Linked DNA regions of Xenopus tropicalis. The protein of the gene in region 2 interacts with the protein of the main gene of each other region in a pairwise test. Links are inferred from orthologs where the notes say so. Each region holds a gene or a part of one and is shown on either strand. Other genes may lie near its edges.

Region 1 (6,691 bases), on a different chromosome or scaffold from region 2:
AGTATCACTCATGTATTATAAGGGATAATGTACCCCCTACTGTAAATGATAAGGATATTAGCAGTCACTGAGGGGTTCTGTGCCCCCCATATAAAGGCACAAGGCTGCAGGCTGAGTTATACAGGGAACTCTGAGTATCACTCATGTATTATAAGGGATAATGTACCCCTACTGTAAATGATAAGGATATTAGCAGTCACTGAGGGGTTCTGTGCCCATATAAAGGCACAAGGCTGCAGGCTGAGTTATACAGGGAACTCTGAGTATCACTCATGTATTATAAGGGATAATGTACCCCTACTGTAAATGATAAGGATATTAGCAGTCACTGAGGGGTTCTGTGCCCATATAAAGGCACAAGGCTGCAGGCTGAGTTATACAGGGAACTCTGAGTATCACTCATGTATTATAAGGGATGATGTACCCCCTACTGTAAATGATAAGGATATTAGCAGTCACTGAGGGGTTCTGTGACCATATAAAGGCACAAGGCTGTTTTATACAGGTCAATGAACAACATGTAACAAAGTACATAATTAAGTACTAGATAAAACTGACGCATCATAGTTTATAAGAATATCTATTGCAGAATTGCCAAGGGTCCGGTATAATTTATAGCTATTAGAATTCCTTCACCAGGCCCAATTTGTCAATTACCACAAACATGTTAAAGGGTCACACCTCCTGCGCTCCATGAAAATATACCAAACCAGTTTATCAGCCCGTAAGCTGATATGAGCGAAAATGTATGGCTCAGACATCCGTTAATACAATCAGATGGTTCTCCGGACAATAACGACTTACCCGGGTCCAATCGCAGTAGAATAATAGTGATGAGTAAAACAGCGAGGGCTGCATTCCGGAAAGGGGTCCTACGTATTATTCCTGCAATCATACCCAGAGCCCTTAACAGCAGATGGGCCACATTTTGGATTCTTGTCTGTACCTTACCTGCAACGATAGAAAGGATTAGTTATAAAAGTCTCAGTTGCGAAAAAAGACTGGGTTGGGTTTGTTTACACTGGAGAAGAGGCGCTTAAGGGGGGACATGATAACTATGTATAAATATATAAGGGGATCATATAATAACCTCTCTAATGCTTTATTTACCAGTAGGGCCTTCCAACGGACACGAGGGCACCCACTCCGTTTAGAAGAAGGGAGTGGGTGTCTTTTTTCAATCTAACTTACTATGTTACTATTATTATACATGATGGGATGGTGGTACACTTGGGCAGGTTAGAAAGGCAACAATGGGCAACCAGCAGCCCACCCTCCCCACCACCCTATGGCTTCGCCTATGGGCACCATTATTCAGGTCAAACATTTGCTTTTCAGAGCTTGCAACCATCTATGTGAACAGGACTGGGAAATGCCCTAGCCTACCCACCGATTCACTGCTGCCCAGCAATAAACGGGTTTAAATACTCATTCAAAATTGCACAGTCTCTTAAGGTGCCCATACACAGGCCGATTGTAGCTGCCGATATGGACCGATTCGGCAGGTTATCGGCCCGTGTAGGGGAAACAACATCTGGCCTGCCTGAACGACATCTGGCCTGCCTGACCAACATCTGGCCTGCCTGACCAACATCTGGCCTGCCTGACCAACATCTGGCCTGCCTGACCAACATCTGGCCTGAAATCGGGCAGATATCGATCGGGCAGGTTAAAAAATTTAGTCAGATCGGGGACCGCATCGGCTCGTTGATGCGGTCCCCGAACTAACTGCGCCTATTCCAGTCGTTATAATTTGATTGTTTGGCCCCAGGGCCAAACAACTGAATTAGCTTAATTCACCCGATATTACCCACCTGTAGGTGGGGATATTGGGAGAAGATCTGCTCGCTTGGCGACCTTGCCAGGTGAGCGGATCTTTACGTGTATGGCCACCTATCTGTGTTTTTACGACCCAACTGCTGCAATTGTAGACTCTTCTACAGACAGTCTGCCGGGGCTGCAGTGCAAGTGTTCACAGTATGGGTGGATCTGATTGGCAGGAATGTTCATACCAGTTCGTCCCATTGACTCTGATTGGCTGTGCTCGTCCCTCTCTGTAGCGGCAGCAGCTTCATACTCTTCCCACTGTCTCCTGTGTTCGCTCACAAGCGCCAAGGCTATGTGCCTCTGCTTTTCCGTGAATACATCCGAATCCTGAGCCAGCACTTCAGCATCAGAAAACAGCCCCAGGGGTAGTAGTATGTGCAGCAGATGGAGCTCTGCAACCCTGCAGCAGTTTGGCAGTAGCCGATTGGCTTGGACTTGCAACCAATCACTACTTACTTCCAGCATAACTTGTGGCTGCTTTACCTTCCCATACAACAAAATGCTAAAAAAAAAAAAAAAGAGAATACAATGAAAATATACAGACGTTTAGGGATCAGGGGGCAGTATATACATTTAATATCAGTGTAGGCACAAGGGATATTAATGTATTAATGCCCCCTACCTGTATGTTTCTGGACTGGCGGAAGAAGCCCCTCAAAACTACATGGCAAGCTCAATTTATTTAGTGTTAAAAGTACAATCTAAACCAAGACCCCAATTCTACCATGATGCAGACTGCAATCTAAAGTCTACGACAAAAGCAGCGCTTATAGTAAGGAAAGGCTTGATATATGATATACTCACTCACCACATCTCCATAATATTGTAAGGCATCTCCTGTGGGGTTTGGTAATACTGAATTAGCCAAGGAAGCACTTCCCTCCATCTTCCCAACTCAACCAGACACTGAATCGCAACGACACAGAGAGACGTCTTCACCTGCTCACACCTCAAGGATAAAGGACACGTCAGACTGAACATTAAATAATAAACAAATCAAAAACTGCAAATAGTCTCAGAACAAAACTGTTTACAGCATTCTAAAAGTTAAGGTAAAGGTAAACTCCTTGAAGCTAAGGGGGGGCCCAGCCTGAAGGCCAGTTAGGGGGGGATTTGGGGTGAGTGCTTATTTGTGCCCTGGGTACCCCTGGAACTATAGCAGGGTGACTGTTACCCCAATGTTTCTATATATCTGTAACCTTGTTATGGGCTAAGGGGGCCCAGCCTGAAGGCCAGTTAGGGGGGGATTTGGGGTGAGTGCTTATTTGTGCCCTGGGTACCCCTGGAACTATAGCAGGGTGACTGTTACCCCAGTGTTTCTATATATCTGTAACCTTGTTATGGTCTAAGGGGGCCCAGCCTGAAGGCCAGTTAGGGGGGAGATTTGGGGTGAGTGCTTATTTGTGCCCTGGGTACCCCTGGAACTATAGCAGGGTGACTGTTACCCCAATGTTTCTATATATCTGTAACCTTGTTATGGGCTAAGGGGGCCCAGCCTGAAGGCCAGTTAGGGGGGGATTTGGGGTGAGTGCTTATTTGTGCCCTGGGTACCCCTGGAACTATAGCGGGGTGACTGTTACCCCAATGTTTCTATATATCTGTAACCTTGTTATGGGCTAAGGGGGCCCAACCTGAAGGCCAGTTAGGGGGAGATTTGGGGTGAGTGCTTCCCCATTACTTCTATACACTTTGTGATGAGAGAAAGGGAACTCAAAGCAACTCACTTTGCATCTGTTGGTTCAGCAGACAGGATCTGTAGGCCTCTCTCACAGATTCCAAGGGAAGCTGCAAAGTTTCTCTCCAGCACCAGCAGGTCGGCAGCTGCGTCCAACAGCGGCACGGCAGGGGGGGTCCCAGACAATGACAGATGCGACCAATCCCACATAGCGCTTAGCGAACAGCTGGACACATTTTCTGCAACTGCCATGGGGTTCCTGCTAACAAGGGAAGAGAACATGTACAATTTAATATTGCGTACGAAAGAGAGTTTTTTTTAGTGTCTTTACGTCTAAGCCCCCACACTTTACTGTAACCAACCTTCCCTGCCCTGCAATATGTCCTCCCCCTAAATAATAATACACTTCCTGCACACAGTTATTACAGGTTAAAGAGCACAGACTGGACAGACAGCAAAACCTTATCTCACTGAATTAGTCCCAGAACAGAACAGCATTCCCCCCTTGCCATAAACACAACATAGGTCCACCCCTCACCCACAATTCCACTATTACAACTGCACCTTTCTGACATTTACACACGGACAGGTGGAACGCATAAGCTCCACAGACCGGAAGTTCTGACTGTGACACACTGACAGGTGGAACGCATAAGCTCCACAGACCGGAAGTTCTAGCTCAATGCCTGCTAAGGATCTGATTGGGTCGCAGAACCATGTGACAGTATCCTTGCAAACGATAGGCCGAGTACTTCGTATGGAGTTGTGGCAAAGACACAGAGGGATAGCAGTGTAGCAGGGGCAGTTGTGTGGGGAAGGGGAGGGGCCCTTACTGAAAGGAAAACTTAATATCTAAATAAAACAATATACTGCTTTGTTTTTTAAAGTGTGTATGAGGCAGAGCCTTGTGTTTTAGCTGGTGCCATGCTATGGCTGGGTCTGCCATTCTGCCAATCTCTATTGTGCCATACCCTTCTCCTGTTGTCAGGGAGAAAGAGGGGGTACTATTGTGTGGGGGCAGGTTTGGCCCAAACAATTGCCACCTTAGGTGCAGGTCAGCTTTGCCCACATATAGTTCACTGAATCGGTACTGTACAGGTTCAATTTAATTTGTTTCAGGCTCTGCTATTGATCTTCCAAACTGCTCCCTTGTTGCTAGGGTAATCAAGTCCTAACAACCACATAGCAATTGGTCTTCATTTTGTATTCCTTATAGTTTTTGAATTATTTGCCTTCTTCTGATTCTTTCCAGTTTTCAAAAGGGGGTCACTGACCCCCAGCAGCCAAAAACTATTGTTCTGGTTTTACAATTTTATTGTCTTATTAGTTATTGTTTAGCCCATTTCCTATTCATATCCCTCCCATTCAAACCCCTGCCTGGTTGCTAGGTTCATTTGGACCCTAGCAACCAGATACCTGTTGGAGATCTGCTGAACAAAAAGCTAAATAATACAAAAACCACAAATAATAAAAAAAAGAAGACCAAATACAGGTATGGGATCCCTTATCCGGAAACCCGTTATCCAGAAAGTTCCGAATTTAAGGCCATCTCCCATAGACTCCATTATTACCAAATAGTTCTAATTTTTAAAAATGTATTAATAAAACAGTAACTTGTACTTGATCCCAACTAAGATATAATTACTCCTTATTGGGGGCAGAACAGCCCTATTGGGTTTATTTAATGGTTAAATGATTCCCTTTTCTCTGTAATAATAAAACAGTACCTGTACTTGATCCCAACTAAGATATAATTACCCCTTATTGGGGGCAGAACAGCCCTATTGGGTTTATTTAATGGTTAAATGATTCCCTTTTCTCTGTAATAATAAAACAGTACCTGTACTTGATCCCAACTAAGATATAATTACCCCTTATTGGGGGCAGAACAGCCCTATTGGGTTTATTTCATGGTTAAATGATTCCCTTTTCTCTGTAATAATAAAACAGTACCTGTACTTGATCCCAACTAAGATATAATTACCCCTTATTGGGGCAGAACAGCCCTATTGGGTTTATTTCATGGTTAAATGATTCCCTTTTCTCTGTAATAATAAAACAGTACCTGTACTTGATCCCAACTAAGATATAATTACCCCTTATTGGGGCAGAACAGCCCTATTGGGTTTATTTCATGGTTAAATGATTCCCTTTTCTCTGTAATAATAAAACAGTACCTGTACTTGATCCCAACTAAGATATAATTACCCCTTATTGGGGCAGAACAGCCCTATTGGGTTTATTTAATGGTTAAATGATTCCCTTTTCTCTGTAATAATAAAACAGTACCTGTACTTGATCCCAACTAAGATATAATTACCCCTTATTGGGGCAGAACAGCCCTATTGGGTTTATTTAATGGTTAAATGATTCCCTTTTCTCTGTAATAATAAAACAGTACCTGTACTTGATCCCAACTAAGATATAATTACCCCTTATTGGGGGCAGAACAGCCCTATTGGGTTTGATTAATGGTTAAATGATTCTGTGTAATAAAAAAAAAAGTACCCGTACTTGATCCCAAATTACGGAACTATCCCTTATCCGGAAAACCCCAGGTCCCAAGCATTCTGGATAATAGGTCCCATACCTGTAGTCTCATGTAGTGTGGTTAATGTAAAGCAATACCCAAAGGGAACCAAATGAATTGATGTTATCTCTCTGCACAGATAATAAGCAAACTAAAGGGACTGTTAATAAGCTGGCTTCTTCTACAGTGATTCAGGAGTCGGAACACACAGAGAGTATAAACAGTCAAAGATACTGTTTAATAGCCATTACATTGACAAATATCTATCAATTCATTGAAAGGTGTAATGAAGGTATATTGGGAAACTGCTTAGAATTACAATATGCAAAGAACACAATGTTTGGGTGGAGTTCCCCTTTAAAACTCACTTTCTTTTACATTCCCTTTGAGGCGTGGCGGTCGGCTGAATGTGCTCTAAGGAGGCAACTCTGATCCGCACCAGGAGCGCTACCCACACACGCCAGCTGTCACCAAATGCTCTCGGGCTCCGGCTGAGCCGGCAGGTCCATAGATATCACAGGAGTCAGGGAAGTCTGGTAGCGCAGGGAGGAATTTTATTGAAATGTAGCCCTTTCTTCAACAAAGCAACAAACAACATGGGAGAACCCCATAACATTTACATTTCATTGAAAAAATATAAATGGAGTAGATAAATGGAG
Region 2 (6,807 bases):
CCTGTATGCGAGTGCCCCTGTATGCGAGTGCCCCTGTATGCGAGTGCCCCTGTATGCGAGTGCCCCTGTATGCGAGTGCCCATACACGTGAGTGCCCATACACGTGAGTGCCCATACACGAGAGTGCCCCTACACGTGAGTATCCGTGGGTGAGTGCCCGTATGTGCCCATACACGTGAGTGCCTGTATACGTGAGTGCCCGTAGGTGAGTGCCCCTGTATGCGAGTGCCCCTGTATGCGAGTGCCCCTGTATGCGAGTGCCCCTGTATGCGAGTGCCCCTGTATGCGAGTGCCCCTGTGTGCGAGTGCCCCTGTGTGCGAGTGCCCCTGTATGCGAGTGCCCATACACGAGAGTGCCCCTACACGTGAGTATCCGTAGGTGAGTGCCCATGTACGCGAGTGCCCATGTACGCGAGTGCCCATGTACGCGAGTGCCCATGTACGCGAGTGCCCATGTACGCGAGTGCCCGTAGGTGAGTGCCCCTGTACACGAGTGCCCGTAGGTGAGTGCCCATACACGCGAGTGCCCCTATACGTGAGTGCCCGTAGGTGAGTGCCCATATATGTGTGAGTGCCCGTAGGTGAGTGTGCCCCTTCCTGCCGTTGCAGCGCACGTGGAGCTGGTGAAGAAGGCGATGGCCGGGGTGACGCTCCCCTCCCTGTCGGTGCCGCTGTGGGCGGAGCAGATTTCCGACGCAGACTGGGAGCATCTGGTTCATCAGACGATCCAATCACGAGCAGCGGCCCCTCCGTCTGGCAAGAAATAATTGCCCCCCCGGCTGGGGCTCTTCTTATTGGACAATCGTTTTGGGCTGGGGCGGTTGTGTATTGGTGCAGGGAATAGGACCCCCCCAGCCCGGCAGCGCATGGTACAGTCCATATGGGGTGTTTGTTCCTCTCACTATGTGGGGGCTCCCCCCGACCAACCGCAACTGGGTCAGGGTTAACCCTCGCAGTACCGAGCCAATAAATGTTATGTGCACAAACCCCACCCTGGTCAGTGTGTGTGTGTGGGGGGGCTTTATTGTTATATATATATATAGTGCCTTCGTCTGTTGTGCGGCCCATTCCCATCAGCCCCTGCCCCAGTGAGCTTACAATCTAAGGTCCCTATCCCATTCCCATCAGCCCCTGTCCCAGTGAGCTTACAATCTAAGGTCCCTATCCCATTCCCATCAGTCCCTGCCCCAGTGAGCTTACAATCTAAGGCCCCTATCCCATTCCCATCAGTCCCTATCCCAGTGAGCTTACAATCTAAGGTCCCTATCACATTCCCATCAGTCCCTGCCCCAGTGAGCTTACAATCTAAGGTCCCTATCCCATTCCCATCAGCCCCTGCCCCAGTGAGCTTACAATCTAAGGTCCCTATCCAATTCCCATCAGCCCCTGCCCCAGTGAGCTTACAATCTAAGGTCCCTATCCCATTCCCATCAGCCCCTGCCCCAGTGAGCTTACAATCTAAGGTCCCTATCCCATTCCCATCAGCCCCTGCCCCAGTGAGCTTACAATCTAAGGCCCCTATCCCATTCCCATCAGCCCCTGCCCCAGTGAGCTTACAATTTAAGGTCCCTATCCCATTCCCATCAGCCCCTGCCCCAGTGAGCTTACAATCTAAGGCCCCTATCCCATTCCCATCAGCCCCTGCCCCAGTGAGCTTACAATCTAAGGCCCCTATCACATTCCCATCAGCCCCTGCCCCAGTGAGCTTACAATCTAAGGTCCCTATCACATTCTCATCAGTTCCTGCCCCAGTGAGCTTACAATCTAAGGGGGTGGAGCTTGACGCTAGACCAGGAAGTAGCTGTGGGAGTTGCAGTTGGTGCAGAATCTACATGAGCCTATAGCCCTGGGTGAGTGTGTGGGTTCTTTATGGGGGTATTTCTGCCCCATCAGTGCCCATACAGACTCCCCCCAGTTCCATGTGACAGCTGCCGAGCAGGGACAGACTGCTGCAAATCAGCATTTCCTCATTACGTTCCTTACAGTTGGAACCGACAGTTTAACCCTCTGAGATCTGAGTTGTTTGTAGCCTCCCCCTAAACCCTGATACTGAACAGTCTTTGTCTTCAGATCTGTTGAGAGTTGCTGTGAGGATCCCACGCTGTCACTGAGGAGAGTCAGAAGCACAACTTGCAATTTCCTCTACAAGTTAATAATGTGCCAGGGAATTATACTCCTCTGTATACAGAAGGACTGTGCTTAAAATAAAGTTGTGTTTCCAGCTGATTTATTGAGAAATTCCCCCCAAACCCCACTAGCCCCGCCCATCTGTGCCACTTCCTGCCGCCTCCTTTCCCCCCAAAACTCCACTAGCCCCGCCCATCTGTGCCACTTCCTGTCGCCTCCTTTCCCCCCAAAACCCCACTAGCCCCGCCCATCTGTTCCACTTCCTATCGCCTCCTTTCCCCCCAAAACTCCACTAGCCCCGCCCATCTGTGCCACTTCCTGTTGCCTCCTTTCCCCCCAAAACCCCACTAGCCCCGCCCATCTGTTCCACTTCCTATCGCCTCCTTTCCCCCAAACCCCACTAGCCCCGCCCATCTGTGCCACTTCCTGTTGCCTCCTTTCCCCCCAAAACCCCACTAGCCCCGCCCATCTGTTCCACTTCCTATCGCCTCCTTTCCCCCCAAACCCCACTAGCCCCGCCCATCTGTGCCACTTCCTGCTGCCTCCTTTCCCAGACTGTGCAGGGGGGCGGCGGCACTGTAGGATAGGAGCCAATCAGCAGCTAGGCTGACCTGATAGGGAACTGAAGCCTGTCTGTGCTCGTGTGAGTGCAGGGCTGTGATTGGCTCTCCCCCTCCTACAGGGACCATTAGGACACGCCCACCCCCCATATGAAACCCAGACAGGGACCTGAGAGGATCTATAGGGATCTCCAATAAAGGGGCCATTGGTACAGATAGGGTTAATGTTTAGCCCAAAGGGAAACCAGCACCGGGTATTATTCATATAATGAATACAGGGTTAGGGGTTTCCTTTAATTCCCTTTCTCCTGATTGGACACAGAAGTGAAGTTGAAGGGTTAAAGCCCCCCCCCCGGGCTGTAGGGAACAGTGTTACTGGGAACTATTCCCCGCCACAAGGAACAAACTGACAGGGAGGGGCGGTTCCCGGGCCGGACTCCCCCCATTTCCACTCATGGAACATTCCCCCCAAGCGGCCCCGCCCCGGTGACGTCACACTCTCGCAGGATGAGAGTCCTAACTCCGCCCCCGGCGGGATGTAAATGGACTTTTGTACCTGGCCGGGGGCGGAGCCTGTGTGGGGGGGAATGGGCAGCAGAGGATGATGGGAGAGGAGGCGCTGGGGGAGACGAATGGGCAGCAGAGGATGATGGGAGAGGAGGCGCTGGGGGAGAGACCCTGGGCCCTCACGGCTCCCGTACTGTCCAGCTTTGCCCGGGAAGTTGCGCCCCGCAGGCTCCGTGTGGCCCCTATAGATGCCGAGGCCATGGTGCGGGCAGGGAGGCTGCAGGAGTTGGGGGGCCCGGTGGATCGGGGGGCGGCTGTGTGGGTCACTAAGAGCCAACTGCGGGACTTGGGCTTCTTCCACCGGGAGTGGGTGTGGGTATGGGCGGTGCCGGGGGGGGAGGGGCAGGGGGGGCACCTCGCCATCATATTGGCTACTGAGTTCTGCTGGGGGCAACCTGACAAGTACCGGCACCTTCTCAGCAACTTGTCTGCCCCCCCTGGCACCTACCCCCATAGTACCCTCCCCCCTGGCACCTACCCCCATAGTACCCTCCCCCCTGGCACCTACCCCCATAGTACCCTCCCCCCTGGCACCTACCCCCATAGTACCCTCCCCTATGGCTTCCCCACTGGCACCCACACTGCCCTCATCTCTGCCCCCCTCCTCTTTAACCTGGCGCCCCGGACTCGGCCTCTCAGTGAGATTCTCATACAGGTGAGAGCACCCGGTGCCAGATACCCCCGTGTGGGGCAGCTTGTACCCACTTACCCTATTGCTTTAGTTTCTCTGGGTATTGGTTGTACTAAACAGGATCTAGGAATAATAGTAGATAGCAGATTGGGTATAACTCACTGATACAGGGGTACAAGTATAATTCTGTGTATAAATCAGTAATGGGAGGGGATCTAGGAATAATAGTAGATAACAGATTGGGTATAACCCACTGATACAGGGCTACAAGTATAATTCTGTGTATAAATCAGTAATGGGAGGGGATCTAGGAATAATAGTAGATAACAGATTGGGTATAACCCACTGATACAGGGGTACAAGTATAATTCTGTGTATAAATCAGTAATGGGAAGGGATCTAGGAATAATAGTAGATAACAGATTGGGTATAACCCACTGATACAGGGGTACAAGTATAATTCTGTGTATAAATCAGTAATGGGAGGGGATCTAGGAATAATAGATAACAGATTGGGTATAACCCACTGATACAGGGGTACAAGTATAGGTCTGTGTATAAATCAGTAATGGGAGGGATCTAGGAATAATGGTAGATAACAGATTGGGTATAACTCAATTCAGTGTATAAATCAGTAATGGGGAGGGATCTAGGAATAATAGTAGATAACAGATTGGGTATAACACACTGATACAGGGGTACAAGTATAATTCTGTGTATAAATCAGTAATGGGAGGGGATCTAGGAATAATAGTAGATAACAGATTGGGTATAACCCACTGATACAGGGCTACAAGTATAATTCTGTGTATAAATCAGTAATGGGAAGGGATCTAGGAATAATAGTAGATAACAGATTGGTTATAACCCACTGATACAGGGGTACAAGTATAATTCTGTGTATAAATCAGTAATGGGAAGGGATCTAGGAATAATAGTAGATAACAGATTGGGTATAACCCACTGATACAGGGGTACAGGTATAGGTCTGTGTATAAATCAGTAATGGGAGGGATCTAGGAATAATAGTAGATAAGAGATTGGGTATAACCCACTGATACAGGGGTACAGGTATAGGTCTGTGTATAAATCAGTAATGGGAGGGATCTAGGAATAATAGTAGATAACAGATTGGGTATAACCCACTGATACAGGGGTACAAGTATAATTCTGTGTATAAATCAGTAATGGGAGGGGATCTAGGAATAATAGTAGATAAGAGATTGGGTATAACTCACTGATACAGGGGTACAAGTATAATTCTGTGTATAAATCAGTAATGGGAAGGGATCTAGGAATAATAGTAGATAACAGATTGGGTATAACCCACTGATACAGGGGTACAAGTATAATTCTGTGTATAAATCAGTAATGGGAGGGGATCTAGGAATAATAGTAGATAAGAGATTGGGTATAACTCACTGATACAGGGGTACAAGTATAATTCTGTGTATAAATCAGTAATGGGAAGGGATCTAGGAATAATAGTAGATAACAGATTGGGTATAACACACTGATACAGGGGTACAAGTATAATTCTGTGTATAAATCAGTAATGGGAGGGGATCTAGGAATAATAGTAGATAACAGATTGGGTATAACCCACTGATACAGGGCTACAAGTATAATTCTGTGTATAAATCAGTAATGGGAGGGATCTAGGAATAATAGTAGATAACAGATTGGGTATAATTCAGTGTATAAATCAGTAATGGGGAAGGATCTAGGAATAATAGTAAATAACAGATTGGGTATAACTCGTATAATTCAGTGTATAAATCAGTAATGGGGAGGGATCTAGGAATAATAGTAGATAACAGATTGGCATAACTCACTGATACAGGGGTACAAGTATAATTCTGTGTATAAATCAGTAATGGGAAGGGATCTAGGAATAATAGTAGATAACAGATTGGGTATAAATCACTGATACAGGGGTACAAGTATAATTCTGCGTATAAATCAGTAATGGGAGGGATCTAGGAATAATAGTAGATAAGAGATTGGGTATAACTCATAATTCTGCGTATAAATCAGTAATGGGAGGGATCTAGGAATAATAGTAGATAACAGATTGGGTATAACTCATAATTCAGTGTATAAATCAATAATGAGAGGGATCTAGGAATAATAGAAGATAACAGATTGGGTATAACTCACTGATACAGAAGGGATCTAGGAATAATAGTAGATAACAGATTGGGTATAACCCAATGATACAGGGGTACAGGTATAATTCTGTGTATAAATCAGTAATGGGAGGGATCTAGGAATAATAGCAGATAACAGATTGGGTATAACCCACTGATACAGGGGTACAGGTATAGGTCTGTGTATAAATCAGTAATGGGAGGGATCTAGGAATAATAGTAGATAACAGATTGGGTATAACTCACTGTTACAGGGCTACAAGTATAATTCTGTGTATAAATCAGTAATGGGAGGGGATCTAGGAATAATAGTAGATAACAGATTGGGTATAACTCACTGATACAGGGGTACAAGTATAATTCTGTGTATAAATCAGGAATGGGAGGGGATCTAGGAATAATAGTAGATAACAGATTGGGTATAACTCACTGATACAGGGGTACAAGTATAATTCTGTGTATAAATCAGGAATGGGAGGGGATCTAGGAATAATAGTAGATAACAGATTGGGTATAACCCACTGATACAGGGGTACAAGTATAATTCTGTGTATAAATCAGTAATGGGAGGGATCTAGGAATAATAGTAGATAAGAGATTGGGTATAACCCACTGATACAGGGGTACAAGTATAATTCTGTGTATAACTCAGTAATGGGAGGGGATCTAGGAATAATAGTAGATAACAGATTGGGTATATAAAAGGGGAGGGTACTAGAGAGACCAAGGCAGCCATGCTTGATATGGGGGCAGGGCTGTGGCTAGTAGGTGT

Evidence for each region. The genes of interacting proteins can lie anywhere in the genome.
Region 1: the proteins of pex6 (region 2) and pex26 come close enough for resonance energy transfer, tested with the Homo sapiens proteins (2 studies listed by BioGRID). The link is inferred for Xenopus tropicalis from reciprocal best matches to the Homo sapiens genes PEX6 and PEX26.

What each region holds. Positions count from the first base shown.
Region 1 is NC_030679.2:8,464,208-8,470,898, reverse strand, and holds the start of pex26 (peroxisome assembly protein 26), read right to left. Parts: upstream 4,047-6,691; 5' UTR 4,015-4,046; coding exon 3,974-4,014; exon of another isoform or gene 3,964-3,973; intron 3,765-3,963; coding exon 3,552-3,764; intron 2,777-3,551; coding exon 2,636-2,776; intron 2,330-2,635; coding exon 2,013-2,329; intron 952-2,012; coding exon 805-951; intron 1-804. UniProt on the Homo sapiens protein: Peroxisomal docking factor that anchors PEX1 and PEX6 to peroxisome membranes. PEX26 is therefore required for the formation of the PEX1-PEX6 AAA ATPase complex, a complex that mediates the extraction of the PEX5 receptor from peroxisomal membrane.
Region 2 is NC_030681.2:308,862-315,668, reverse strand, and holds the start of pex6 (peroxisome biogenesis factor 6), read left to right. Parts: upstream 1-3,201; 5' UTR 3,202-3,288; coding exon 3,289-3,909; intron 3,910-6,807. Other genes in the region: mea1 (male-enhanced antigen 1), read left to right, coding at 610-767. UniProt on the Homo sapiens protein: Component of the PEX1-PEX6 AAA ATPase complex, a protein dislocase complex that mediates the ATP-dependent extraction of the PEX5 receptor from peroxisomal membranes, an essential step for PEX5 recycling.